Lonchura striata: one gene and its partner. The protein of the gene in region 2 interacts with the protein of the main gene of each other region in a pairwise test. Links are inferred from orthologs where the notes say so. Each region holds a gene or a part of one and is shown on either strand. Other genes may lie near its edges.

What was found.
Region 1: the proteins of PRTFDC1 (region 2) and MCMBP interact in binary tests that used the Homo sapiens proteins (3 or more experiments, as listed by UniProt). The two-hybrid records come from large-scale screens. The link is inferred for Lonchura striata from reciprocal best matches to the Homo sapiens genes PRTFDC1 and MCMBP.

Annotation. Positions count from the first base shown.
Region 1 is NC_134609.1:27,491,865-27,507,577, forward strand, and holds the start of MCMBP (mini-chromosome maintenance complex-binding protein), read right to left. Parts: upstream 7,049-15,713; 5' UTR 6,939-7,048; coding exon 6,881-6,938; intron 6,358-6,880; coding exon 6,272-6,357; intron 4,675-6,271; coding exon 4,534-4,674; intron 4,231-4,533; coding exon 4,189-4,230; intron 3,738-4,188; coding exon 3,636-3,737; intron 3,166-3,635; coding exon 3,036-3,165; intron 2,422-3,035; coding exon 2,270-2,421; intron 1,576-2,269; coding exon 1,475-1,575; intron 1-1,474. Other genes in the region: SEC23IP (SEC23-interacting protein), read left to right, coding at 7,160-7,301, 10,684-11,207, 12,698-12,893, 13,494-13,687, 14,423-14,512, 15,669-15,713. UniProt on the Homo sapiens protein: Associated component of the MCM complex that acts as a regulator of DNA replication.
Region 2 is NC_134603.1:139,823,415-139,838,829, forward strand, and holds the start of PRTFDC1 (phosphoribosyltransferase domain-containing protein 1), read right to left. Parts: upstream 7,489-15,415; 5' UTR 7,460-7,488; coding exon 7,415-7,459; intron 3,837-7,414; coding exon 3,730-3,836; intron 1,789-3,729; coding exon 1,605-1,788; intron 1-1,604. UniProt on the Homo sapiens protein: Has low, barely detectable phosphoribosyltransferase activity (in vitro). Binds GMP, IMP and alpha-D-5-phosphoribosyl 1-pyrophosphate (PRPP). Is not expected to contribute to purine metabolism or GMP salvage.

The DNA of each region.
Region 1 (15,713 bases), on a different chromosome or scaffold from region 2:
CAAAAAACCCTCAAAACCAAACCGCACAAACAAAATCACATTTATTATTTGCTGCACCATTTAACAGGCTGTAGCTTCAAGTAAAATATTACATACTGTTCTGTCCAGCCTGTACTGAGTGAAGTGTAAACACCAGGTTTAAAAAAATAAGGTAATTTATTACATTTGTCTCTGTAAGCACACGTGGGACTTTCATATCCCACCAGATTCTGGAGCCTGACAAGATCTTCTAGACAGTCACATCACATCTCTATCACTGGCTGAGTAAAAGAACCGTGAATAAATAAATCCTAATGTACCTCTGCTGGAACCTGGAGGTATTACCTCTAATTTAAGAGTTCAGATAAATGTTCAGGGAGGGCAAAGCTTGTGTCTTAAAAATTTTCTTCTAGGTGGTTTTAATTTTTCATTTTTAGGAAGTAAAATCCCTGAAGCAACTATATTAAATGACAGTAAAGTTTAGCACAATTTTCATTTTCTTGTAATGGTTTTAAAGGCTGTCAGGCTTTGTAACTTCAAAGCCACTTCAGCAGTTCACTCACACACTATCCACTCTTTGCATTCAAAGAGATTTGTTTTGTTTGCATTCAAAATGTTGCTAAATGCCACCATTTTGTCTTGTTATAGAATGACACAGGACAAAACCCACAAGCACCTGTGACAGTGCAACTGAGCTGTCAGTCTGGGATTAGCTGTCACACAGATGATAACAAAAAGCAGCTGACCAGGCTGAGGTAATTTTTAAGAAGTTGGCATTGTAAAGGATTCACATTGCACTCTGGGTATTGTACTTGCTAGACAGATGAACAGACTCACCAACAGAAATAATTCAGAGTGTAGTGGTACATCAGCAGTATTTATGTTAAATTTTGGTAAAGAGTTTTCTTTTCACAATTGACTTCTTGCATCCTAAATGATTTTGTATTCTGTCAGGCATGGAATTGCAGAACAGCAGGTGAAATGGGAAGTTTCTATCAGTGGATTAAGAAGATGGGATTATAGAGAAATCAACCCATTTTTTACTCATTTTGGTTACTATCACTGTACATGCAGACATGCAAACATTTTTTTCTTATATTCTTCAGAGTGTTTACTTTTCTGGTAACAACCTTCATGGACTTTGAAATTACTCCAAAAGGACATTTATAATTTTAAAGCTTCCTTGAAATATTTGTTCACTATTCACTCATTCACTGAAAATGTTGTACACATGAAAGAGTACAAAACATTTAGCTATAGAAGCATTTTCTGCTTTACAAGAGTGTACAACCTAAAAAAAGATGCACTGGGTATCCAAGGATATGGATGTACCAGAGCACATTGGACTTCAGTTTCCAGGATGCTGGATATAACACTTTCCTCATCAAGCTATTTTAAAGCAACAAAATTCACTTCTTAAGCATAATTATCATGTACTTCCACATTTCCTTGTCTGCTCACTGCAATAAAAACCTGAATTCCAGCACAGCCTTACCTCTCTTCACTGTTCACTATGCTCAGCACTGGGTCCACAGACAGAACACCAAACACCTCCAGCACATCATTGACTTTGAAGCTCTCCCAGCTCTCATAGACCTGCCCCAAACAGAAAATAAAATGCTGAGGCAGATGGGCCAGATGCAGGACAGCAGAAAAACTGTCGGACAGGAAATTCAGGAATCTCAACTCTGGACTGAGAACAGTCTGAGTGAAGAGGTGTCCCCTTGCCCTCAGTGTCAGTGAGCTTACACTGGAAAAGGGAGTGTTATGACTCCACACTTTTTCTATTGGCATTTTTTGCCACATGAGTGCCAACAATTGTATTCTACTCTGATTCATCAAGATTTACAGAGTAAGAGAGAAGTCAATACAGCAATAGCAGAGCAAGTTTGTGTAAAGTTTCATAGTAATATAACATAGCAGTGAATCAAGGACTATTTCAAATTCAATACACCAATGTGTAGTTTATTGGTTTTTCAGCTTGGTTTTTCACAGCTGTTTTTCAATTAAATACCAGGGCTAAATACCAGCTGCACCCTGGAATCTTTCCTTTTAAACTAAGTGGGGTGAGAAGGTGCAAGCTCTAATAAATGCTGCTGAAGGATTTCAGCAATTCAAATGCAGCACTCAAGAAGAGAAACACTGTGTTAGTGAAGAGAAAGAATGTAATTATCTCTGGAAACAAAATTCTGGACTCCAGACACATTTCTGTGCCTACAAACCAGTGCAAGGCTGATTCTGCCTGCCTCACAGAGACCCCAGCCCTGCTCATCACCTCTCCATCTCTCACCTTTACAAGACATGCTGGTCCCTTCTCTCCTGGCAAAGGAAAATTTAGGTCAAGTGGAGGGGAGCAGTTGGGAGAAATGACATGATGACCTGCAGAAGCTTCTGTTTCTAATCTCTTTGGCTCCACACATCCATGGATATCACTTCCACTGCCTGAAAAACACAGGATTTACAGGCTTAAAAACAGAAATGCAGAGCTGAACAACTTTCTTTAGTAAGCAACACAGAGTAAAACTAATTTAAGAAAACATCTGAGACAAGAATATTTAATAATGCAATATTCCTGACAGAATATACTCTTGATATGAGAAGTCTCACAAGTGCATATTTTATGTAATCAAGTTAAGTGTGGGAGAGAGTACTGGCAAAGATCTATGTGTCATGGACAGAAACCTGATTGTCAAAGAAATTTTTTTCTGCAGTGTTTAAACCAGGCAATTTTTTTTTTTCTACAGTCGACAGGACTGCAAAGGTAATATTTTTCTGCATTTCATATTTAAAAAAAACAGGTAAGAATATGCATAAAACGCAGTTTATATTAAACATTTCTGTAGATTGTCAGCAAGTCACACAACACACATACAACACTATGGGCTCTCCCACACTCCTTCAAATCAAACCACTGACTTCAACAAAGCCTCCAAATCCTAAAGGCTGCAACAACAATAACAATGAAAACAGCTGGCAAAATATCTGTTTTTAGCAATGAATTTTTGCCAAATCCTGGAGAGATATCAGAACAACTATTCACCACCAGCAGCTCTTACCCATGTGTTGCTCCTTCTGTTTGGAGGGATGCAGATCCATGTCCTCATCCTCCTCATAGCTCCTCTTGTGCCGACTGGGGGTGTAGGAGGTGGAGGGGCTCACTCGGGCATGGCTGGCACTGATGTAGGCCTGGGATCGAGGGTTAAGGAAGCCACAGGCTGAGCAGGGAAACCTCAACCACACTAAGGTTTAGTTGTTGGTTTTTTTAACAAAATCCTAATCTTAACACGCTCAGTTACAGGTGTTTTATAGGAGACTCTTACTGTGAAACAGTGTCCTGCTGCAGAAAATGCCAATGGCTCAATTAAAATTTCCCTTTTCCTAAGCATTAGCAACTAGAAATGAACAGAAATTTTCAAGACTTTCCCAAGCAAAAACATCTATGGAATCAAAACTAATGCTCCTAAATCAATTTGCATCCTCTTTGTGTATATTACACGCCATCAACTTTCCTTTTTTCCTCTTTCTACACCTATCACCTCTCCAGATTCACTAAAAGAAAAAAAGAAGTTTTAAATAACTTTATCTCCTAAATCTAATTAATTAGTTGGTGACCACTGATTGTATAACAAAACACTGGCTTAGTCAAAAAAAGATATTTCTTTCACCCATGCTGATTCACCAGGCACTGGAACACAGTAGAAAGTTTGTCTCTCTGAGGTGACTGTTTGTGAGGAGTTCAAATCAAGTTCCTGCTGAGGCTGGAATCCCAAGAGAAATTTTGTTAAAAATCTGATTGCAATTTGTTTTCCTTTTTTAAACTAACCCCACAGATTCAGTTAATCAGCCAGAAGTTACAATTAACATGTAAGACTACATAACTCAGGAAATATGAATATATAATGTTTTGATTCAAATTGTACTGCACTACCAAAAGTAACTGTTTTCCACAGCAGGCAGTTTCAAGGTCATGGGCACTCCCCCTTCCACTCAACCAAAACAAATTTTAAATACAAGAGAAACAGCTGGAAGCCCACTGAAATTAATGCCAGTGAGCAGTTATGAATACTCTGCTTTCCAACCCAAAGATTAACTTTGCATTTAGAGCAGCAACTTCACTGTCAAGTACCAAAGAAGCTCTGTCACACTTACAAAACTACAACTTTCCACCCAATATTTGTTCTTTAAGTTCATATAATTTTTATAACTTACCCCACATTCTGCCACATCTCTGTATTTACCAAAATGCAAAACCTGTCAAGAGGGAAAAAGCAATGCAATCATTCTGTTTCTGACAGCATCCGGAATATGAATCACACCAAAATCACTGAAGCCCAAAGTCCCTCACAGACATCCTGCCAAACCTTTCATCACTTTAACATTTTCTATTCAACAGAAATGTAGCAGGTTATTTTTTACTGATGCCACTTGAGCTGAACACAGTTACAGTCAGTGTCCACACTCCATAGGTTTAACTCACAAACTACAGAAATACAAGGACCAGAATAAGTAAAATGACAAATATTTGCTAAAATAGTAACTCAGTATTTCACTTACACGTGCATTTGTGTTTGGGTCAACTGTTTCATACACTCCCATGTAAAACTCAGGATCAAACATATCTTGAACCATGCAGCGAAATTTCACTAAGCTGTTGGGTTTTAGGTAATGTACAGGAACATCATTCAGTGATGGGACCTGAGAAAAAAGAGATTTTTCTATGCAACTGGTATATATTGAGGCAAAAAAAGTGAGCCAAAACCAGCAGTAAAACTTAATTCTTTGACCATCCTCCTCCTCAAACCCCTATACACACACACACATATATATATATATATATATATATCACACTTAGTATTTTCTGAGTGCATCTCCCATCCTAATCTTAGCACCAACAAAATGTTTCTATCCCAACACCTTCCTGCAATGGCTGTTACAATTATCAGGAAGTTAACAGAATTAACAGTTCCCAAATTCTTCCAGTTCCAAATACTGAAAGAACATCTTCCTATAAAAGAAGCTGTTACAGGTCACTGGAACTGTATGAAAACTGTACAACATTTGAAACCAAGTTTTCAATTTCGAATTATTGCAGCTGCAGGATTAAACAGAATTTTTCACTTATCTTATTTCTACTTAACAGCACTTCCACCTCGTGCTGTGTACCAGCAGTACTAGAACAATTTGCATGCACAATTGCCTATAACAAAAGGTCCTGGAAAACCTGTATGTTAATTTCCAAGTCAACATTGGGGAAGTCTTTTTCACACAGTTTTACATGACAATGGGAAAATAGAAGGGAAAAAAAAAAATCAACGCCTAAGCACGTGGTACAACTTCAAAGAGCAAGACTTGTAATATGAATAGAGTTTTCTAAATTTGAAGAGAAAATCTTTGTTGAAAAAGCCCACATCCAACATTAAAATGCAACAAAAGTGGCCCTATAGGAAGTGGCATTTTAACAAAAGTATATTGCCTCACGGTATTTTTTGAGTAAGAAAATATGATTTCAATTCCTTCTGATGTGGTAAATTTTACTCAATTTTGCCATTTATTAATGGTAGCTTTGATTTAAGCCACCATTTAATACTAAGTACACAATACTTTCACTGACAGAGAAATAAAACCAACAATTTTCACCTGGTTTTAGTCATAGGTAGAACAGATTTGATATGAAAGCTTCTAATCCCCTTATCAGTCCCATTATGCCATTTCTGCTACAGCCTTTTAGGAAAGTATCAGCTTTTGAACTCCACTGTTCACACTTTATTTTTAAAACCTAAAGCACATCTTCCCGGCTAAACTGCACAAACCAGGCCTGACCCAGCACAGTTTTAGTAGGAAAAGCATTTTTTCCTTAAAACCTGAAGGTCCAGACAACTATTTATTCAACCCACACAAGTGTGCAGCATTGTGATAAAAGCTCCTGAGACAAGAGGTTCATAACCAGCAGCTGGTGGTGCACAGCGAGGACTCGCACTTCCCCAAAAATGACAATATTTGTCATCGCCTGCCATCTACTGACTGTGCTCCAGAGTGGCAGCAGCAATGGCCTGGGGGAAGGAGGGTGCTGAAGGCAAGGGCATGGGTGGGCTGGGATTTCACATCCTGGCTTTACACTCAGGTTAAAGCAGCCGAGGTGCAATTCCACATCCCAAAGCCTGGGCCTGAAATTCAGCTGCACGCTTATCACGAAAAAGCAGGACTTATCAAAAGCAAGCCACTGCAATAAAGTGTAATAATAAACAACGAAGCTTAAAAAAAGTGTAACTCGAAAAGAATAAAACACTCTCACCCAGTTAGTAGCATTGTTTTCTTTTAATTTCTCCTTGAAGTATTCGGTTACCTTCTTCTCCCAGTCAGAGTTCGGAGCATTTTGGGCTACAAAAAAAACCAAAACCATATCGATGTGCCCATTACCACCACATAAGAGACTTTTACCCAGCATATCGAACAAACCCAACTTTCACTTTTATTTTACGGAAGTGCAGCTTAGACTAATTTACTCCCCTTGCAAGTCACTGACTTCCCATTTCAAAGCCTTTAAGGCCAACCAAGAAGCACAGAGCCATTCCTGGGAGCGAGGGAAAGCTCCGCATCGCCCCAGCGGGGAAGGGCAGGAGCCCAGGCTCCGCTTTCCGCGCTCTGTCGGCTGCGGGAATTTTTATGTCGGTGTTGTTTTAGTGAAGATCAAGCCCAGCACGGCCAGAGCCGCGGCTGACCGCGCTGGTAACATCAGGGCAGACAGCGCGCCTTGCTGCAGAACCCAGAGATACACGGAGAACGCAAAACACGCTGTATATAAGACATACACGACATAAGACAGAGAATCTGCCCCGCCACCACCCCACGAGGGAAAGCGCCCTCCGGTTCTCCGGTTCCGGGCGCTCCCGCCCTGCCTCACCGAAGATGCCCTGCACGATGCTCAGGGGGCTGTTCAGCCAGTCGCCCACGCACGGCATGGCGGGGTGCCCCGCGGGGCTGCCGGCACCCTGCGGCCGCCGAGTCCCTCCCGCCAGCCCAGCGCGGGGATCGCCGCCGCTTCCTCCTCCCTCCTCCTCTTCCTGCGGGAATGGCGGCCGCGCCCGCCTCCCGCCCGCCCCTCACGGCTGCGCGCGGCCGCCGCCGCCATCTTGGGTGCGGGCGGAAGGGGCCGCGGCCGGGACGTGGCCGGGGCGCGGCCATGGCGGCGGCGAAGCCCGGGGGAGGCACCGGCACCAACCTGCTCTTCTCCTCCTCCGCCACCGAGTTCAGCTTCAACGTGCCCTTCATCCCCGTCAGCCAAGCGCCGGCCGCGCCGCCCGGCCCCGCGCTGCTGCCCGCCGGTACGGAGAGAGAGGGAGGCGGGGAAGGAGCGCAACCGGGAGCGCGGGGGATGTGCGGGGTCCCGCCGGCAAAGGGAAGGGCCGGGAGAGTCCCCAGAGCCGAAGTGCCCCCAGTGCCGCTTTCCGGCACTTAATTTCTTCTGCTTCCCCCGCTTGATGCGTGTGTGTGTGTGGATTTAGCGCTGTGCCTGAGGACGGGCGCTGATCGTCGCGCTTCCGAGGTGTCGGTGCTTCCATTCAGCACGTACTGAATGTTTCCGCGTTTTTTAAGCTCCTCTCTCACGTTATCTTCTGTTTTCCGGGTTTGAAAATAGTACCTTAAGCAGCCGCCTTAAATATCCTTGCTAATTTAATCCTGGTTCTAATATCCTTTTCTCCTAAAGCTTTAATGGTGTTCCCAACACATGCGCGTGCAATTTACAATCTGGTGTTCAGGCAGTTTCAGATAAAGGAATGGATTTTTTTGGGAATGTATTCAGTCAGAGATTAAAGCTTGAAACATTAGAATGCATCTAGAAACAAGATATTTGAAATTTTACTGTATTGTACGTGTTGGGATTGGACTAATGACCTCTGAAGGTCTCTTTTAACCCAAACTGTTTTATGCTGAGTCTTCAAGACTTCATTTCAACTGTTGTATCTTAGCTGAAATAAGAATTAATATGGCTGGCAACCAGTGTAGTACTTCTCTGTAGATTTAATAAAACGTTTGCCAGTTATGGCTTTGGAATAGTTTTTTTGGATCGACTACATTTTTTGGATAGGAGGGATAAAAGCATTAAAAGATTATTTCTACTTACTTGAAGTATCTAGGTAGTTGATACATTTACTAATTCCTTTGTACAAGCATTATAGTTTTTCTTTCATGCAAATACACATTATATTTTCATTAAGAAAATAGAACAATTTTTAAGTGCTGATCTAGCTAGTAGCTTTATGCAAATGGCTGTCCTGGCAATTTCCTGAACATTTTGAAGTCAGCCGAGGATAAAATCTGATGGGATTTGATTAACGTGGTGAATCTTATTCTCTCCGTGTAACTTAAAATTTGATCAGGTGAGGATTCATGGTCTTGCAGGTGGAGTGAATTTCAGTGTCAGTCCAAGTAAGGCCCATGTCCTGTTAAATGTTCTGTTTCCACAGTCAAGTGTACTCACCATCTGTCTAGCCAGGTGCTGTTGGGATCTTCTTGCTGAGTGGAATATTTTGTATTTGTAGTCATGATTTTTAATTGTGTAAATGTAGTAAGAATCAATCCAGGGATTTGTTTGACACCTGACAGCCAAGATTAGGGAGCTGTGTGCAGGCATTCATTTGTTTATCTGTCTCCAAGAGTGATTAGTTAGTGGTGTGAGCTATGCAGTTTGACAATAAGATGCATTCTCTGGCTCAGGTGTGGGTGATGTAATCAATATATTTACTGTAAGGTGGGAGGAGTGATCCCAGTGACAACGTGGACTGATGTCACTTGTGGTTGTGTGGTGACAGTCTGTGAATGACAAAGTTCTGCCTCGTGTGGGGAGGGATGTACAGGAGGTTGGCACACTCACAGGTGAAGAAAGGCTGTTCTGTGCACGGGGAGAACACATCAAAGCTATACACCCATTTTTAAACATTTGTATGACGTGCTTGTTTTTACAGCGTAGTTTTTGCAAAATTAGAAAAAGTCCAGATCAACAGTAACTTTTTGTGTTGGAAAACTGCATGTGTGTGCATATATGTACTTATAGGGGTTTTTTAGGCAGAGCTTTTGTCATCCTCATTTTGCAAGGAAAGCTGCACTTAGGCTTAAATCTCCAAAACCTATTTGGAACTGGAGAATAGTGGGTGCTTTGTGAATATTCATTTGCTGAAGGCCCTGAGAGCTCTTGGGCACACTGCTGCATGTTTGTGGTGGCCTGACACGGCGAGGTGAAGGGCCTGCTCTGCTGCCAGTTGTTTGGGAAAGCTGAGAGTTGACAGCATGGTTTGCAGTGTGATTCTCTCTGTCCCACACTGTTTATGAAATGTGAAAGACCTTTACTTAGTATGCTGAGACCTTTTATTTAGTATAAATGCCTTATGCTTGCAGCTGGGAAATGATCCCCAGGCCTGACTTCAGAGTGGTCACTGGGTATAAGTGGTTTCAGTATTCTCCACACAGAGATTTTGGCTTTGTTCCTCAAAGTGGGATCAAGTGCTGGAAGGGAAAGCAAGAGGTATTTGAGGCAGGTGATGACACCGTCTGTACAGACTAAATAAAAGGTGGTTAAAATAGTTCTTTTTAATCTTGGCAGCTGCCTCTTTTATGATTAATTAATTAGAACAGCAGCTTCCTAGGGAGACTTCTCCATGGATTCCCCTGTACTCCCTTGATGCTCCCTATTACAGTTGTGTTGGCTGTGGATAAAGGCATTTGTTGTTGGCTGCTCGCAGCTGCAGAGACTCTTGGTCTCTCTGCCTGGGCACTGAGCAGCAGAGATGCTCTGTGGTGTCTCCCCCGCAGCCTGGCATCATTTGATTGCCAGACAGTTGAAACACTGCTGGTTTCTGCAGATGGCACTGACTCCTTGCAAGGTGCTGTTCCCTCAGGAGGCATCCCAGCCTGAGGTGAGCTTGCTGTGAGACCTCAAATCATGACAAACCTCCTTTGTTCCCACTTGTTCCTAGGTCACCGCAAAGTAGAAAACTGTGATTGGTCAGGAGTTCTTTTACTTATTTTCTCCATGTGAAGGGGCATTCATGGCCTTGCATATTTTTAAATCCTCTCTTGCAATTATGCAGAATGATTTTTCTGCATGAGAGATGTGGCTTTTATGCAAGTCTAGAGTAGGATTTTTAGAGCGAACTGGACTAAGTCCTGCTCATTAAGTGGCTTGGGATCATGAGTTATGGCCACTTTGCAAACAGATGAGAAACCTTGAGAGGGCTCTGCTGAAGGAGCAGGCAAGAATGGATGGTTTAACCTGTAAGGTTGGCCTATTTAGGAATGTTTTTAAGCTCTATCCTAAAAATAGGAGCCTAAAGTCCTATGCTTAGTAGCTGTTTTCATGTTGAAAGGATATAAACCGAGGTTGTTCTTGCATTTGAGGGATAAGTGAAGTAGGGATTTTAGTGCCTGTCAAATTGCCCTGGGAAAGTCCTGACTCCAGTTATATTTTGGTTTCTTATATAATATTTGTTGCTTTTTCTGTGTACACTGAGTGACTTTCATGGTCCATTTTAAATGTTCTTGAAGACTTGGTATCTTTTGTTTCATTTTATGATGTGCTGAATCAAGGATGGGTAAATGTTATGGAGCCCAACAGTTTTGGCCATAGCTGATGGTGTTGCAGAACATTTTGACCCCATACAGTGATTTGAAGCTCTCACAAGATCTCTGGTGATCCTTTTGTTTTTGCAGATGATTCTGCAGATGTTGGGGAAGAGGACAGCTTCTTGGGTCAGACATCAGCCAGCCCCAACCCTCCACAGACTTTCAGCTACTTCTCTCAAGTTCCCAGCAGCAGTGATCCCTTTGGGAGTATAGGACAGCCACCCTTAACAACTGTTTCAACACCTGTTGGAGCACCAGCCTTCTCCAGACCTCCCACTTCACTTCCACTCGTGTCTGGGTCCCAGGATGGGCAAAATGCCTTTTCACCACATATTCCCAAATCCCAGTCTTACAGTGCACCACCCCCTTCCCAGGTGGGAATGGCGCCGTACCAGCCCCCTCAGCAGAGCTGTCCCCCACCTGCCAGCGCTGCCCTGCCCACAGGGACCCCGCAGCAGCAGGGCTACAACCCCTACAGGCACACCACCCTGAGCAGCAGGGCCAACCCCTACCTCACCCCTCCCCAGCTGCAGCAGAGCCATCCCCCTGCCACAGCATCCCCTGTGCCACCTGTGCAGATGTACCAGACACCCCCGGGGCCGCTGACACAGGTACGTGACTCCTTCCAGCTGCCACAGCAAAACAAGGCACTTTCCTCTTTCAGCTGTGTATTTAATCTTTTGAAGATTTTTCTTCTCTGCAAAAAAACCCAGAAGAAGTCTTGAACCGTTTACAACAGCAAAAGCTTTTCACTAGAAGTAGCTTGGAACTGTTGTTGCAGGAAAACTTCCTGATCTTTGAAGTGAGTGTATCCTGAGGCTGTAGCTCTGTCAGCCTCTGGGCATCAGAAACAAAGCCAGGTTGTGAAGTTCTCTGGCACTTTTCTGTGGATTTCTGAGTTTGCTGAGTTTCAGCTGTGTTGCTGCATTTTTTGTGCCTCAGCTTTAAATCAGGTCATTCAGCCATTTCAAAGATATGGTCTGAAATCTCTTTTTAAGCTGGTTTTGTTGGTGAAGGCAGAATTTTTTCAAACTAAATCACATAAAATTGTCAGCAAATTCTTTGAAACACATCGGTTGAGGATTTTGTGTGATATAAAGCGATAATCTTCATTGTTTTCTACCTGCACAAAAGCATTATTAAAGTAATGCCAATGGGTTAATAAAACCTGGCACGTTTGCCTTGAAGATACCAAAAACTGTTTTTATTTTTGCCTGAGCTATTATTGTATATCTGTTATTGTTAATGAAGAATGTGAAGGTTATATAATGACAAAGCATAGCAAAGGCAGTAGAACCTAAACAGTCTGGAGTTTTAGATTGTATAATTTCAGAACTTCTATTTATTGGATTTTATATATTCTACAATACTTTCCTGCCCTTTTTTTCCCCTTCTAATGTATAATTTCAGAACTTCTATGTATTGGATTTTATATATTATAAAATATTTTGGTGCCTTTTTTTTTCCCCTTTTTAATGTATTATCAACCAGTGCAGTTGCTGCTGCTGACATGAGTTGATTTAGTTGTACTGACTGGGATTTTTGTACAATTTGTATGAAATCAGCTTTATGTAGGCTGCAGACCCTTTCAAAATCAGTTACCTTTCTTGTGCCACCAGTGCTACATTTGAGTGTGGAATCTTCCTGTTCGGGTCACTTTGCAGGAAGAGAGCTATAGCTGAAGTGGCCACTTGTTAAAATTGGGAGTCTTTATGCAAAAGCATAATTATGTGTAAATAAACAATGTGAAGAATATGTTTTTATTTTCATGTCACATTTTGTGGTTGTAAGAAACAAGTTCAGCTCTTTTGAAAATTTAAGAGAATATTTGAAATCTCACTGATTTTAGGTCATCATGATGCCAAACCATGGTAGTTTTTAACAGTGTTTATAGAAATGAAATTCACGTTCTTTCACAATTTGAGAAGGTGTAAGTTCTTAAACACATGATGAAGTGGAGAATATTTTTAGAATGGAAGGTAATGTTCTTGGGGAGAAAAGCATGTTAGAAATAAAGGTTCAGAATATTTCCTATAGTAAAGTATAAAAGAGTTCTGCAAAAACCCTGTGAGACTGAGAGGCTGAGCCCGTCTTTTTTCAGTTTCCACCGTCCCAGTCCCAGCTCCAGCCTGCCAGGCCTGCAGGGCCCCTGGTCCCAGCCCCTCCTGTGCTGCTGCAGAACCAATATGAGCCAGTTCAGCCCCACTGGTTCTACTGTAAGGAGGTGGAGGACAAGCAAATATGGATGCCATTCAGCATTCTGGATTCTGCAAAACTAGAGGAGGTCTATAATTCTGGTAAGTCCTGTCTTATCCAGAGGTGAGCAGAAGGACTAAAGCAAAATGTTGGGGTAATGCCACTTGTGTGTGGCAGTAATAAGTAATGTTTTGTGCCAGTTAATTTCACTGACATCACTGCCTGATGCTGTGATCTCAGTGTTGAGATGTACCATCCCAAATAAGTATCAGATTTTCATATAGAGCTCTTTGTTATTTGTGTCTTGGGTGTTATTTTTGTTAAACTTTGTCAGTTCTGGAATAAGTATTTGGGAGTTTTTCCAAGCTTTTTGTTATGTACAGAGCATATGGGAACATTCTAGAAGCATCACAGTGTTACAAAGCTTCTCTGCCATGGTGTGACTGTCAGTCCTAATGGCCTCATATTGATCACAGGAGTGGCTGGGGCTGGGCTGAGAGAGCAGAGATGTGTCAGTGTGGTAAGCACACCTGGCTGTGTGTCCCAGCCCAGCCTGACCCCAAGAGCACAGAGCAGAGATGTGTCAGTGTGGTAAGCACATCTGGCTGTGTGTCCCAGTCCAGCCTGACCCCGAGAGCGTGGTGCTGAGCACAGGGCAGAGCTGTGTCAGTGTGGTAAGCACACCTGGCTGTGTGTCCCAGTCCAGCCTGACCCCGAGAGCGTGGTGCTGAGCACGGACGGCGGCCGCTACGACGTGTTCCTGTACGAGCGCATGAGGAAAGCCGTGTACTGGGACGAGGAGCCCTCGGAAGTGAGGCGCTGCTTGTGGTTCTACAAGGGAGACAAGGACAGCCGCTTCATCCCTTACACTGAGGACTTCAGTGACAAGTTGGAGGTTCGTAAGTGGCAGAGACCTTGTGAGTTCATTGTGTTCATCACCTTAGAAACAGTTCTGTTTCATGAAGATGAATTTCAGAGTGCACTTTCTGGAACATAAGAAAATCCTGGAAAGAGGAGTGACTAGAAGGCCACATTGCTCCCACATCAGTCCTGCATTGCTGTGACTTAAAATCTATTGAAACAGTGTGACCCCCCTGCATGGGGAATAACGTGCTCTGACTCCATGTTGCAGAAAGCTGAATTAATTGCTTTTATTAAGCTACATTATATTACATTAATACTATACTATACTAGAACTGTATCATACTAAAAATATACTCAAGAAAAGCCCATGATTATCTCCAGACAGCCACGACACAGCTTTTTCCAATTGGCCAATTGATCCAAACAACCATCACTGGTGTCCAATTAATAAATCACTCTAAAGTAAACAATCTCCATAACACATTCCACATGTGCCAAACAGGAGCAGTGAATTGAGATAAGAACTGTTTTCTTTCTCTGAGCTTTCTCACTGCATCTCACAGCTTCCCAGGAAAACTCCTGGGAGAGACTCATGTCTCTCTGTGTTTAGAGAATGTGAATACCACAAAAATCTGCTTGAGTAGTTTTACATGTGACATTTTTATATAAAGAAAGTTATGTAAATTTTAACTGTAGCATTACATGAGGCTACAAAATACTGAGAAGGTTGCCATGCTGATTTTGTGTAACTTGTTTTCTGTTTCAGGCAGAATATAAAAGGGCTGTAACTACAAATCAATGGCATCGGCGACTTGAATTTCCAAATGGGGAGACAATTGTCATGCATAATCCAAAGGTAATGGATTTTGGCAATTGTGTCTTACGGGATTCATTAAGGGGGAGTGAGCAAATGGATGGAAACATAAATTGAATTGGTCCTACTCTTGCATGAAACATACCAGTTTGTTCTAGGTGTGTGTGCATTAAAGTTGATCAAGTTTACAGAACACTAAACTTGTGCTTGCTTCAATGTGCTGTCATGTGGTTAAAAGACAGTGCTTTCTGAAACCCAAAGAGAATAAGGGTTTGCATAATAAATATTTTGGCTAAGGATAACTGGCAGCAAATGGTAAGCAACTTGAATTAGTTTAACCTCAGTCTATATCAAATGAAATTAAAACAAAGAGCTTTCATATGGAGAAGAGCATTAATCTAGCTATAAGGTAAGTAGTTTCTTTAGGGCCTGAGAAGGTTTCTGCTTATTTGTAGGCCATGAAAAAGTATAGCAAGACAAACTTTAAAAGTGAGCAGTCTCATATTCTTCATGAGACTTCATGGACTTCAACCTTATTGATCAATACTGTTAACTGTTCACTTATCACAGATACAGTAATTAATACACAGACCTATCCAAGGGACTGAAAGGATCATGGTTGCTCCTAGTTAAAGTGTTTAATAATCCTGGTTAGGGAATTCTGTCCACTAAAAATCTAGAGAAGGAGTATTTAAGCCACTTGATGTCATAAATATGAGTTGAGACTGTAAGTCCTATAAACAACTGTACTACTGAATTACTCACTTTTCAGTTTTTTTTGACTACTTCAGATGCTGTTCTTCCCTGAAAAGCACTGCACTTATTTATTTCCATTTTCTCCTTGTGGTAGGAGAAAATACCTATAAATCAGGTAGCATTCAATTTCCTCACATTAGCAGTCATCTGCTAAGGAAGAGTGGATACTGGAGACTAGGAAGGAGGAGCTTGAATAATGCTTGGCTGAGGAGTTAAAATGGTTTAGAATCACTGAACAGGCCCAGCTTCTTCACCTAGTGGTTACTTGGAGTCATCTGTTTTCTTTTCACACTAATGAGGATTTTGTGGAAGAAAACATTTGATTTTCAGATGCAAGGTAAAGCAATCAAAAAGTATGTTCAACCATGCAGTGCTTTCAGACTTAACAGTGTGAGTCATGAGGTTTTACTGTGGTTTGAATTTGACACTGTATTTGTTCCAGGTCATAGTTCAGTTCCAGCCTTCTGCCACACCAGATGAATGGGGC
Region 2 (15,415 bases):
TTTCAAAAATGCAGATGGAGGCACTAGTTCTTGGGAGGGAAGGTGCTACCTTTCTGATATAGCCTGAGAAAGATAGGACCCAAAATATGCACAGCCACTAAATCCTAAGATTATCTAGGACTTAGTATTGGTAATTGCACCCTTGCATAATAAAATTCTTAGTGCTGTTTCAGCTTGATATAACATGCTTTTACATTATTTCCTAAGCTAAAGAGGTGAAAATGTACACACTTTTGCAGTACACATCTCCTGCCACTCATTGGTTATGGGTTATGATGACTAATAAGATTTGACCCCAAGGAAAGAAATTTTAGAACTAGGATATCTTCATACTTGATAGGAGATAACTCTGTAGGAAAAACACATGCATTACCTACATGCCAGATGCAAAATAAAACCCAATTTAAGTAATTCCTCTATTTCCTCAGCAGTGTTACAGAAGTGCTATTATAACCACACAAAAAAAAAATTGAGTAAAATTTCCATGTGCCATTATGTGAGACATTATATAACATTGTAATTTATTAATTATTTCTGTAATACTGTTGAATACCTAGAAAATGTACAATATTAGTATTTCACATGTGCTTCATAGAACTAATTCTTGAAACAGAAGTCCTAGGACCAAATCCTAACCAAATGGCTATAAAAGGTTCTCATTCACCTTTTTTCTCACAGTGAAAAAAAAGTCAGACCAGATCTGTGAAAGTTAGAAAAAGTTCATAGTCACTGGGGTCAGAAGAAAATGCCAGCCAACAAATTGTGGAAAGGCTGTAGAGTTAATGTGGGAACTACAGGACATAGCAAGCTGCATTTCTGCAAGACACCTTATTATCACTCTTATTTATTTAGTGTACTTCTTCAGACACCTCTACAACAACTTACTTATAGAAATGCTACCTCACTGTGAAACATGCACTGCAGGATAGGATACAAATTTATAGCTTCTACAGTAAGAAATTGTAGTTAGAGATTCTGAAAAATGCTGGTCTTCTCAGTATCATCCTTAGTGACACAGATAAATTATTATTGCATAATTTCCTCTGAAGATAACAGGAGGGCTTGATGATTACTTCAACACTGGATTTGATTGAATGGCTTGTTTCATAGTCTTGTAGAACACTATCATCATCTGGTGGTATATTCTGCTACTATGTAAACTGCATGCTATGAAGACGAAAGCATTTCATTTACTTAGCATTAAACATTTAGAAGAAGACATAGATTTTACCACCTTGCAGTTATGCCAAACTATGCGGGGGTAGAAAATGCAATAACACGAAATTAACTTGACAGAACTGCTGAGGATTTTGAGTACAAACAAATGCTGTCATTTTACATGAATGAAATTTGAATACTTCTCTGTCCAGAACTAAAAGATAGACTAAATAAAACAATAGAGGTAAAGGCTGCTTCATATCCTTATTCTTACTACTTACAAAGTATAAGGGATATGAGTTTTTAAGAAAACCTCACAGGTTTTTCAAGCAAAAATATTTTTCATGCATTTTTTCTTATAATTGGAGGTGGAGAACTCACATGCAAAAGTCAATAATTTATTATGGCATTCAACCAGAATCTACATAAATCAGTTGTTGACTTACGTGGTAACTTTTCAGTCTAACAAAATCGACTTTCATGGAGATGAACCTTTCTGAATTTCTGCTGAGATTTTTAATGTGCTCCACAAGATCAGCACAGAACTTGTAGCCACCTTTGAGGACACAGAGAACCACAATATCATTGTCTCCAATGTCTTGCATAATATCTTTCGCCAGTCGTTCTGTCCTGCACAAAAAAAAAAATTAGAGATAAAATAACTTTAGATGCAGATGCTCTAAGTTCATGGTATGCTTTACAAACACTATCATGACTATAAAGCTTGCTTGGCATTGCTTAAGTAGCCTGACTTCACAGAATCACAGAGTGATTTAGGTTGGAAAAGACCTTCAAGATCATTAAGCCCACCCTTTGACTGATCACCACAACGTCAGCCAGACCATAACAGTAACTGCCATGTGCAGTCTTTTCTTGAACACCTCCAGGAATGGTGACTCTACCACCTTCCAGGACAGTCCATTCCAGTGCTTGATAGGGTTTGGATCCAGCTCACAGATAGCAAAGTGATGGATGTAATATGCAAAGCACTTGATTCTAGTTAACCTTAAATGCATAAATTTCCCAGCTATACAAACAGGACCTACACATCTCAGCATATTTTAGGCTCATAAATATGTCAGAGACTCCAGAGAAAAGAATGTGAACTAGCCTTCCATTTTACCTCACAGGAATTATCAGTATAAAATATACCTGTACAAACCCCTAACTTGTTATGTTAGTTACTGCACAAGAACAAGTGGAAGATAGGGAAAATATCTGAAACTTTCATGCTGATTGGCTTTGGAAGATGCTACCCCTACAGTTTTAAGAAAAATATACATAAAAACTAGAATGAAATAGAGCATCAGTGAAAAGCTTATAAAGAGTGTATATTATCACTATTCTGTACAGGTCACTGCTTTGTACAGCAGAAATGAAGAGTGCAAAGAGCTTCACTGACTTGTTCAAGGTCCCACACAGGAAAATAATCAAGCAAATGCCCCAGTGAGCCTGGAATTGTGTGGTTCCCAAACAAAACCGTCCTTTCAGACAATTCTGTATGGCAAACACAATATGGCAGATGATTGGAAACAAAGGGTACACATTTCTGCCATGCAATGCTACATACATTTTTAAGATAAAAATAATAAATATTAATCTTAGTAATAAATGTAAATAATATTAACTTTAAATATAGTGTTTCTAGACCCCCAGTAGGGTACTGGGTCATTTCTAGATGTAATGAAGTATCAATAGGAAACTTTAAAATGTCATTTGATGTTTTGAGGAAAAACAGCTCAGCAAATTATATTCTGTAAACACTTCCACTGGAAAATTATTTTATAGCTCTCTGACTTAGATTAGTAGTATCAACAAGAGTGGACTTGTTGACAGGATACAATTTATTAAATAACCCCATAATTTATCCCATATATTTTATTATTACATTTTTCAGGTTTAGTTGTTTTCTTTATTTCTCTATCAACTGCAATACAGAAATCAATTTGCCGCTACATAAGTACATTGATTGGTCTTTAGTGAAATCTGTGCATGGAGCAGAGAAGAATAAGCTCTAGACTGAAGATAATATATTAAGTATGAGAAACAGCTGTTGCTTCATTTCCACATATTTTATTTTTAATGCTGTAGCAAATTCCATATGGCTATAATTAGCATATTTTAGATGAGAAATAGAAGAGATTAGAAAAATTAGATCATCTTATTTGATCTGAAATATATAATTCCTTTTAGTGTTTTAAAAATGAGGATCACTTACTTTACTGAAGATTAATAAAATAGTCTTTTATCATCTTTATCAAGTCTGAGAATGGGGAAAACCTCTCATTAAGAAACATTTATTTGATTAATTTTTATTTTTTATATTGTTCCTCAGATTGGTTGCAGCTAAAATTTCCAGGAATTCCAAAGACCACTTTGTATGTTAAAAATGTAGGCAGTCCAGGACAGACAAAAATGTACTAATTTAAATTTCTAAATAAAAATATCCAAGTTTTTAACTTATTTTATTACAAAAATCATACATGTACGGTATATGGATGACCACCTTTATAAAAAAGAATAATACTACTGACCAAACAATTTATTTAGTAACATTCAAGCAACACATACCTGTCAACAATAATGCCATGAGGAATGAGCACATATTCCAGGTCACCATAGTAGTGTTGAGGGTAAGTGAACAAATCCAGACTGTATCCAGGCCAATTGTCTGAAATCTGAATATCAAATAGTACTGTCAAGAACACTTCGTGGTGTTTGACCTTATGTAACTGATACAAAATCAGCATTCTAGTACACTCTATTGGATGAATTCATTGTGTGCCATAACTTCTTCCAGTTACAATTTACTATTTTGCTTTTCCCATTAATTATTTTGCTTCTCTGTATAACTCAGAAATCAAATGCTACATCTTTCTCCCTACAAAGTGTGGGAAATGTCACCTGAAATTACAAACAACTAGACAGACAAAGGAAATATTTAATACTAAACTAGTGGCAAAAATAAGTTTCTAAGTACTTTCAAATTCAAAGTGCAAAAATAATAGTGCCAGTAAGAAGAGATTTTCCAATGGGACATTCAGATGTTGGAATAAAAGACAAAAAATTCTATATTAAAATTGTGCATTTCTAGTTTAGAATGACTTAAAGTTATAAATAAATAGGTAAGTATTCTACAGATGAAACAGCACATTCAGAGAATAATTTATGTGTTTCATGGATGATATCTGTACAAATCAGTGAAAAACAGTACTTCTTGTCAAAGGTGAGGTTGTTAATTTAGATGTCATCAAATACGAGTGATTACAAAATGTTTGCATCTCACCTCACTATGAAACTAGTCTGTAAATCCATATATTTACATAAAAAATATTTTACAGACTTAATATACATTGGTTTTGTAAGTATCAGAATACAGAGATTAGATCTCACAACATACAATAGTGGTAGAGATTAAGAAGGTCAAAAATTAGCCAACGGTTGAAGGCTTCAGAAAGCTATGAAATGCAAAGTCACCAGCACAAAAACTACACAAACTCCAAAACAAACATTTTCCCTATTCCTTATGAAAGACAAGGCTTTCAGATAAGACAGGTTCACAAGGTACCTTGAAATCATTGCAAAGCTTTGCTCCAATACTGGTTCAGGATAAAAAGCAACACCTAATAGGTTTTCCTTACAATCATATTCCTCAAGTCACACATTTTCTACAGCCTGGCTACAGGAATCTTGATTATAAGGAGAAATGGAGGCAAACTTGCCATTGTGCAGTGCATATCTTAGTGGCATTTTTGCTACAGTCTTTAAAGGACCATCACTGAAATTAATCTCTCCTTACCATTTTATAGTAGAGCACTAAATTGTTCCTCACAGTTTTGGCTAAGATAACATATTTGATGTTGAGCTGTCCTTCACATCCCCTCTTCTTTAACTCAGACACAGCCCTGCCTCTTGCTGTACTGAAACACTGTTCTGCTTTATGGATTTTGAGTTTCTTGGGGGCTTTTTTTTCATATTCATTGACAGTTACAGGCTCCTTGACTGGCACATTTTCTTAACTCTACCCAAAATTTTCTGCATCAAAAAAATTACTCGTTGGCTACTGAATATTAGTCCATGAAGGGCATGACTGGGAGAGCACTGGAATCAATGAAAGCTTTTCCCCTGACTTACACAAGCCTTGAAACTACACAGAAGAATAAAAAGTTACTTAGTTGTGTTCCTCATTTCCATAGAAACAGGAGATTATAAAGATCCTCCTTGGCGAGCTTTCTATTAGAGAAAATCTTGCCCCAGAAACACTGCTGCAGTCGGCCTGGAAAGACTATTTTCCCATCTACTTCTTCAGTGCATGAGGAGGCTGGAAGTTTTTAAACATTTTGTAGCAATGAACGGTCTGTTCAAAAGCATTTTAATGCAAACTGAAACAATTTCATTAAGTATTACAAACACCCACTAGCAACCCCTGTCAGCGTTGCTTACTTCTGCATTCTTGGCAAATTGCATGTTTTCAGTGTGATGCAGAACAAATTAAATGGATAAAAATTGCTTTAGAATTCATACAACCCAATAACTTTTACTTAGGCTACAATAAGTCCTTCATAAAACAGGATCAGGATGAAATTTTCATTCTCCCATTTATCCTTCTAGAATAGCAGAACATAGTGTAACTCTACAATAATATTGAAGTTCTTGTTTACAAGTGCTTGCTGGCATTTGACAAACAAGATGAAATTCACATGTACTTTCAAATTAATTATTTGTCTGATATAATAAGCCTTTTTCATATTCCTCTTTCTTTTAAACAGGCACTTCCCAACAAGTCTAGGAAATTCTCATTTATCCTAAACCTATTCACAGTGTTATGCTGTAAGACAATTTTCAAGTAACTGTCAATTCTTATGACTATTCTGTTTGAGAATTTAAAAATGAAGGAAAAAAAGTCTCATTGTTTTCAGAAAAAAAAACAGTGTTCAACTGGATAAGTAAATATATATTCTAAATACATTGGCATATTTGTCTGTAAAACATTCCTACAGTGAAATAAAGACCTACTTTTAAAGTTCAGGTTTCACATGTTTGAATAGCCCATCAGATATTCTTCAGTAAGTCTTTAAAAAGTTGATGTGAATGGATACAAAGAGGAATATAAATACATGGCAATATCCAAAAGCTTTCCCCTGAGGCCTAAGAGACAAGCTGAAGACATTCAACACCTTTAGAAGAATGTTGCTCATTTTCTTGTCTGGCAAAGTGAGCACAGGTGAGGTTTGAGCTCAGTCCTCGGCTCCAAAAAGCATAAAGCAAAGTCCAGCTTTTGTAACTTAAATAATGCTGCACTGGACTTATTGCTGGTTGGGTTTTTGGGGAGTTGAGCAGAAATATTAAATCAGAGCACCAGAACATGGTCATGCACATTCATGTCTGACTTTGCAATAACCTCCTGTTGCTTGATGATACGCACAGTCACCCACTTAAGGAATGTAATTTATTACACAGGTGTCAGGAGATGTGGCTGATGTGTGGTGTTTTCAGACAGAGCTCGAATACATGGAGACAGGTCCTTCAGGAGGGGGATGAAAGAGATGTTGGAGTGGACAGTGTGACCACTGCCTACACAGAGCGTCCTGTGCCATGATCTGGGCAGCTGACCCGTGAACTTTCTGTTAAAATCCTAATGCCACATTGAAATAAGAACATACCTAAGGTGGTGGCAGTGATGGCATTTGCTTCACAGGAGAATCTGGTGTGTCTATCAGAATAAGGATCACATTCATTCATTTTTGCACCATTTATCCATCCCTACAGACATTTCAAGCGCATGCCAAGGCTCGGGCTATTTCCCACCCCAGCAAAACACGGGCAGCCCAACCCTCTCCCAGAGGCCTCGCAGAGTTCCGGTGGGAGCAAGACACCTCGGGATGACCGAGGAGCCTCATCCCCGGTGCTCAAGGAGCCTGGACGGGCACAGGCTCGGCCCCGGGGCCGCTCGCGGCGGCACCGGGCCGTGTTTTCACGGCGGAAGCCAAAGGCGCGGCTCAGCCCAGCCCGCCCGTCCCGCTCCGGCGGCCGCAGCGGGGCCGGGGCCGCGGGCGCGGCGGGAGCGGCGCGGGGCGAGGGGAGGCGGCCCAGGCGCCGGCCGGGGCCGGAGGAGGGGAAGGAAGGGAAGGGAAGGGCGCGGAGCTTCAGCACAAAGCGCCGGGGGACATCGGGGAAGCGGGCCGGGGACCGGGGAGGCACCGCGGCCGGCGAGGGTCGAGCGGCCGGGCCGAGCCGGGCCGCGCTCCGCATTTACCACAATGCCGCGGCCTCCAGCGCTGCTGCCGCCCTGCCCGGCCATGTTCCTGCGCGCCCGCCCGAGGGGCTGCGGGGCGGGGCCGCGCCGGGGAGCGCGGCGGCTGCGGTGCTGTGCGGGTGAGGGGTGAGGGGTGAGGGGTGAGGGGTGAGGGGTGTGGGATGTGGGGTGAAGGGTGTGGGGTGAGGGGTGAGGGGTGTGGGGTGCGGGGTGTGGGGTGAGGGGTGAGGGATGTGGGATGTGGAGTGAGGGAGGCGGGGTGAGGGATGCGGGATGAGGAGTGAGGGATGTGGGGTGAGGGATGTGGGGTGAGGAGTGAGGGATGCGGGGTGAAGGGTGAGGGGTGAGGGATGTGGGGTGCGCGGTGAGGGATGCGGGGTGAGGGGTGCGGGGTGTGGGGTGAGGGATGCGGGGTGAGGGATGCGGGGTGAGGGATGCGGGGTGAGGGATGTGGGGTGAGGGGTGAGGGGTGAGGGGTGAGGGGTGTGGGGTGAAGGATGTGGGGTGAGGGGTGAGGGATGTGGGGTGAGGGGTGTGAGATGCAGAGTGTGGGGTGAGGGGTGTGGGGTGAGGGATGCGGGGTGAGGGGTGGGGAGTGAGGGGTGCGGGATGTGGGGTGAGGGGTGTGGGGTGAGGGATGTAGGATGAGGGGTGAGATATGTGGGGTGAGGGGTGTGGGATGCGGGGTGAGGGGTGTGGGGTGTGGGAGGCGGGGTATGGGGTGAGTGATGTGGGCTGAGGGTTGCGGGGTGTGGGATGTGAGGTGAGGGGTATGGGATGTGGGATGCGGGGTGACTGGTGCGGGACAGGCGGTGCAGGGAGGGGGGATGCAGGATGGGCGGTGCGGGATTCAGGATGCACGGTGCGGCGTGCAGGATGGAGGCTGTGCGCGTATAGGTACGGTGGGAATGGTGGAAAGACTTGGGCAGGGCTGGCCAAGAGGCCTGGCCTGAGTTAATGGGTAATATTAAGCTGGTGTGGTTTAAACTGACGGTTTAACAGGATTTTCTTATACTCCAGGGAAGATAAAATGAAATTTCCAACAGTTCAGTAATCATACTTTTCATCCTCTCTGTCTTGTGCAGTTGCTGCTCCTTCCCATCACCGTGCACATGCAGGGGCAGGCTCTGTTTTCCCATTGCCCCCAGCCCATGCCCATGTTGCCTATGCTCTCTGTGCAGTTAGAGATAAACAGATCAGGCACCAGGAATAGTACAGCTTTCTGCCACTCCCTTCCAATTCTGTTAAAATTATTATTAATATTCTGCTTTCACTGCCTCACAGATCAGAAGGAGCTTGTGTTTTTTCTTGGCTTACTCTGATCATTACCTGCCTTTATATTTCCATATAAGAAGTTCAAATTTGGACTTGCTCCACTCTTTTCGTATCCTGTCTTTTGTGGGAAATGGTAGCAGCCTCTCTGCCCACTGTGGATAAAAATAGAGTTTTTAACTTTCTTCAAATTGAAAGTCGGTCGTAATTTCTAGTATCAATCTGTCAAATACACAGCTGGTAGAATTCTGCCATTCCTATACTAGAAATATTAAAGGAAGAAAAAGTTGTTTTTATGGGAGACCTAGGCATAGTGAAATATTCTTAGTGCTGCTTGAAAGGCTCTCAGCAACCAAGTAGGAAACATTTCAGGTTTGAACACTGCTATTGTAGAATGTGGTCATTGACACTTCTGGTCACAACAGATGGATCCAGAGGGCAGTTATGGGTATATCTGCACAGGGAGTTTGTCATGTCCTATGTGGACTAGTTTTCAAATACATTCCATTTATGCACTTATATTAGAACTGATAGGACAATTCTTAGGAATCTGGTGTTAAGAATGCTTCTATAAGGTAATCACTGATTAAAATCTGGTGAAGTACTAGAGCAGTTGAAGATTATCTTGTGATAAATGCTTTGCTTCCTATAGGAAGCCAGGGGTTTTTGATGAATTAAGAAACTATTCTTTAATGAGCTATTGCTACAATAGACAGGATGTCTGAAAGAACAAAAGGTTTACAAAGTGTCAGAAGTCCACTCCAGAATCTATCTGCCTTAAAGTGGTGCCTGCATATGAAGACTCAAGTGCGCCAGGAAAAAATAGTTCCTCTTCACAGTGCTGTAAAATAATAAGTAGTGAATCTGATAAACAGCATATGCAGACTTGTACAAACCTACATAAATCAAATAAAAATAATTTGGTAAAATACATAAGAGATTTTTGTAATGGACAAAATCCCTAAATAGATTCACATTTTAATTACATGTCAACATTCCATACAACTATTGAGAAGGAAACTTAAATGTTTCATCTGATTCTTTGGGTTAAATGCTCCTGATACATATCCACACTTTTCAGGATTTGAAGACTCTTGTCTGGAAGGATGCCTCCTAAAGTCCATATTTGCCCTAAAGCTAGTGCAGTCAGAATCAGTTGTCACCAAGTTGCCAATAAAGTTGCTGTTGCATTTAAGTCACAGTGCTGAACTCTAAGGATCTGAATCTATTTAGATTACAGATAGAAACTCAAATTCTGCCACTGCTATTTGGGTTACTATTATCAGAGCTTTCTGTATTTTTTAACCATATTCTTTATCAGACTACTGCAATATAAGAGATAGTTCAAAGCTTAATGCTTTGAAAAACATGAGCAGGACACTTAAAGAATAAATTCCTCCAGCATTGTGCTGGAAAACTTAAGCAGGAGATCGTTTGTTCTTCCCATCAGGATTGGATGAATGTGTTTGTCAAGTCTTTGTTTTGATATTCTTATCTTCCAGCAATTTTACAGGGCTTGTTTAAGAAGTGTAATGAAGTGTCATGTCTTGCTAATAACAATAAATATGAGTAAGGAAATAAAAAACTAGATAAATTCAGCTGGGGTACGCTTTGATAGTACTGCTGTCAGCAGCCACACACCCAACCCACAAAGCTGCTCTTCTCCATGAAAGATTTTTTCATTGGCACAAAACACATTTTGTTTCATTTTGTTGCAAATGACACAAATTCATGGTTCTGTGAACTCACAGAATTAGTAGAAACCAGAATTAATGAGGTTCTTTGTTCATGATGGAAATGAAGCTGCTCAGGATTTTGTTATGGAGGAATGTATACTTACTGAATGCTTACATTTTTTTACAGTCTGAACTGGTATAGAATGAATGAGTTTACAGTAGGCTTTCAAAACTTATTTTAATTATGGCCAAAATATGATTAGTGAAAGCATGATATTTGGGGCTTAACTATGAAAAAGTCTGTAAACATTCTGAAGAATGTTCTTACTATCTTTGTTTAGCTGTTTGTTTATTAACTAAAAATAGGAGGAAAAGAATAAACATTTCTAGATATACAACCAGGGGAAATGATCAAAGGGGAGAAGAACAAAGAAAATAAGAGTAGATAAAACTAACAAGTAGGACTGGGTAGGTCTGGACACATAGCCAAGAGCCATAAAGGAGCAGATGGAAGAAGTGACACACAGAGAAACAAAGCAGGGTTAGGACTAATACACAAATCTCATGTGAATATATTTACATTTTTGGCCTTTACACAATTTTATAATTTCAATTAGACATATATTTCTCTCTTACTGTGTTACTAAAAGTAGGACATCCCCACCCTTTAACAACTTTAATGTAAAGAAATTATAAATATAAAAGGTTGGGGGGCAGGGATATACCAAGAAAGCAGTCCAATGCACATATTATTATGGAGTTACCTGTAAGCAACCTTTACAACTGCATTATGTCTTCTGCTTCCAAGAAGCTATAACAAACATTTGACAACTCAGTTTGATATGTAAACACCAAAACTAGACAAGGAAAGCATGAAAATCCAGAATATTTCAAGAGGTATGGCTTACCTAGACAGAAGCTTGCCAATTAGGGGATGAAGTAAGAGCTTTTTCTGGTTCTGCCTGTTGCTGCAGCTGTTATGTGAACAGCAGAACTGTAAACAATCTTATCAAGCATAAACTTGCATTTCTTAGTGGTTAGAAAGTAAGCTACAGCACACACACCCCCAGTTGTGGCAAAGACATTTTTGGGTAAAATGGTTACTGAAGAGATTATTAAAAACAAAGGTCTAGCATATGTACAGTACTTTAGGACATGTTGGAAAGAGTTCTAAATTGTTTGCATATCCAGTTTTAATATATTCCAGAATTTTGAGTTCTTGTGTATTACCTGAGGCAGTGACCCAGTCCACAGGGTGGCTGCTGGAGACCCTGAGTGCAGCAGAACATGTCTGGCAGACAGTGTTCCAGACATCTGGGAGAACATGAAGCAGGATTTCAAACCATTCCCCTACAGCAATGAACACAGGGAGGCCATAGAAAATGCTGCCCCATTAGCAGGGCTAGGGAGCATCCTGTGATGTGCAGCACAAGAGATGCACATTGTTCTTTGTGACTCCTGTACTAGAGCAGGTGACAGAGTGGCTCTGCAGGCTGGAATCTGGCTCCTGTCTACTTCAGCAGAATTACCATCATTTTAGAGGAATTAGAAAGTTTAGCTTTGAAGCAGTTGCAGCATTTAAGATCTACAAGGGAAGCTTGGTCACAGTTAACCTGTACTAAGTCTGTGAGACTGACTTAGGCTTTGAAAATTAACTGGAGTAACTTTGATATCAAGAAAATGGCTAAAAGCTGCCATTCAAGATGTTAGTCTTATTTTTTCAAATATTTATAACCTTCAAATCACTGTTAGGCACTGCTTGACAGAAGGCTGGGCTTTGACTTATTTGGTCTATGATAAACATCTTTAATACAAAACTACATTTTTGTTTGTTATTAATCTCACTGTGCCAAACTAGAGCAGCGAGCTTTGCTTTGCAATTTCCTGACTCCTGAAGATACCCTTCCTGCTTTTCAGGTTCATGTTAGTAATATAAAGTCCTTATAGCTGAAAGAAATGCAAACAGAAATTTCCTCTTGTCCTTCAGTACTAGTATAAACTTTATATTCTTTATAATATTATGGAAATATTTGCCCTAACCAGCTATTTAGAGGTATTGATGTTTGAATGATAAAGCACTATTTTCAAGGAATGCGGCTCACATCATATCCTATGACAAATTCATCATGCATGATCATGGAAACTAGTCAGGGAGTTGTAACTATATAGTGGGTCACACCCAAAGTAATGAATTTAACTGTTAAGAGTTTGTTTTCTTTTTAAAGGAGGTTGTTCACTTGGTTTCATCCCTCTTTTTAACTTTTTTTTTCTAAATTCAAACAAATATAGAAAAATCTACCATAGAAAAGAATTCAGAGTGTCTTAAACAAATAAGCAAGTAACAATTTAAGGGTTTTTTTCCTTCCAGAATGGCTCAGTTATCTTTGATATAATTTTGTATACTTCAGAGCTTGCCTAGAATAAACACTGCAGTAACAAAAGTGTATTGAAAAACAGAGTCTGGTCCCAAGAGTTCTCCTGCTGCACAGGACAGTGGTTGTTCATGGACAGCCTCTGTGCTCTGTTGCAGCACAGAATGACCCACAACCTGATGGTGCTGAAATTCTGGATATGGGCCATTTACTAATTTTATTGTTTGTGTAAAACACAATTCATTCCTCCTGAGCAAACAGCAAAATGTGGTTGTTTCTCCCTTGTGCAGTGCTTGAAGCCACTACTGGAGTTTTTTCCTCCGAAGAGAGAATTACTACATTGCTTCCTCAGCTTGAATATGGACCTCAAAGCAACATGAGGTCCTTTAAAATGGACCTCAAAGAATAGTTCTAGAGGTATTTATCAATTTTTACAGCCACTCTTGGAATTAGAAGATTGAGTCACTTGAATTTTCCATATGGGTGCTCTCACCTAGCAAGACTAAATTGATCATTAATTTTAGTAATTTTGAGTCACAGTGCTGTTTAGGCTCAAATCATAGTTCTAACTTTAGGCACATATATCCTATATTTAAAAGAGATGGGCTCAAATTGCATGTCAGAAATACCAAAAATGGGAAATGCAGTATTAATGATTATCAGTGAAAATACCAGGTATTAAGTAATTTACCATTACATTTCAAAAACATGCTATGACAAAGACATGAATAGATCATACTGCTCCAGGGAATAAGTTAAGTGCTTTAAATCTCATTTCTCTTCCTTCAACTCCTACTTTCCAGTTGCTGAAACAAATGAAATGAGGGTTCTTGGAAAACAGATCCTTTTAGTAAACAACAAGAATCTTATTGCACAGTCTTCATGGCCAGATGAGCATATTTGTTATTACTGTTATTATAAGCACATAAGAGCTCTACTAACAGACAAAATTGTGTCAGACACTAAGCAAATAGAGAAAAACACAACCCATATGACAGATAGCTTAACAATCTAAGACAAGAAACAACAGGCTACAGTGCTGGGGGGGAGTTAAAGGAAACTGCACAGGTCAGCAACATAAATCCTTATTTCAGCTCACCAGCAGCTCAGCTGTTGTTAAATTGTTGATGAGCATCACTGCAAAAGACATTTGAGGAAAGATTTGAATACAAAATTATTCCAGTGTTTGCATGTTTCTGTGAATTTCTTCATGCTGTGGAGTCAATGTTGAGGATGGTATGGCATAATGAATTAACACCACAGGCTGGTACTGTGACTGAACAGCTCACTCTCCTAGCAGCATCAACAAGACCAGGATACAGCTACTATTTGGCTATGTCTGCCTATCTACAACTATTTGTGGAGGTACAGTCTATAAAAAAATTGTGTTTCATAACTTGCTGGAATATGTCACATTTATATCAGCACCCTTTAAACAGTAAAAAAAAAAAAACCTACAAAAAATAACTCATGCTGCATTCCTACCATAACACCACTTCTTAGCCTGGAAGGTGAATACTGTGAATTTACTCATATTTTGTCTACATAGCTTTGCATGACAAGAAGGAGCAGGAGGAGGGTAGAGATAGTATGAAAAACCCTACAATCTAGGCATTCATGTGGTCATGTGTACATCACCACCTTGGATGGCCATTCATGGAAGGAATGGCCATTCCTCCTTGGCTTAGTCATGCTTGATACACACCTGGATCCTGGAGTGGACAATGCCAGCCAGCTGCAGGGCTCAGCAGCTGCCTTCCTTGACTATGGCAAATGTCAGACAACCTTAATAACAGGGTTTGCCACCTGTCTCTCCTCTAATTATGTCATTAATATTATAAGCATCCTAAAGCTGAGGATGAAAGTGTGGACTAGGGTTAGCATTTATCTAGGATCCTATTAATCTGCATATATGTGAAATTTTCTTATCTGAAAGATGTCTGCTTTCATTAAGTCAGAAATTCTTAGATATGTTGTGTTGCCTGAAATGGATGCCAATGAAAGGACTAGATTTTAGCTTCATGGCAGAGCCATCACAGCAGCAGTTTGCAGTACCAATTTTCCACAAAAATATACAAGGTGTCAGAACATGCCCTCCCACAAAAAAACCTACCTACAGAGACTAAGGAAAATTAATTCAGTGGCAAATTTCTCCCATTTTTCCCACTGAATTTTGTGAGTGGAACAAGGTTACCTCTCTAGGTTTTGAAGACCTGTCCCAGACTTAGTCCCCAGGAATGCATGCAGAGCCCAAAAAGCCACCATGTCCAAGATCAGCCACATGAAGCCCACATGCTCCTCTCAGAGCTGATGTTTGCTCGAGGCAATCAGGAACTCCCTCTGTTTGTGACAATGCCATATCTGATCCCTTCCTTCCTGAATATAAATAGTTTCATTCTCAAGAACAGCCAGGGAGATATTCATCATAATTTCACCTTGCTATTTTTAAAAAATAGATACACAGCTTTGTCATGCACAACTTCCAACAGGAAATGTTTTCAGTTTGCGGGAACATAACTCTTACTGACCCACAGATTATTCATGTCCCATTTTTCATGTTTTATTATGGTTATCCAATTAATTATGAACAATTTAAAATTACCAATTTTATAATTATTAAATACTGAAGCAGTTCTTTGTTATTTCATTGATTATTAGTAACTGACTAGTGAATTTAAAGG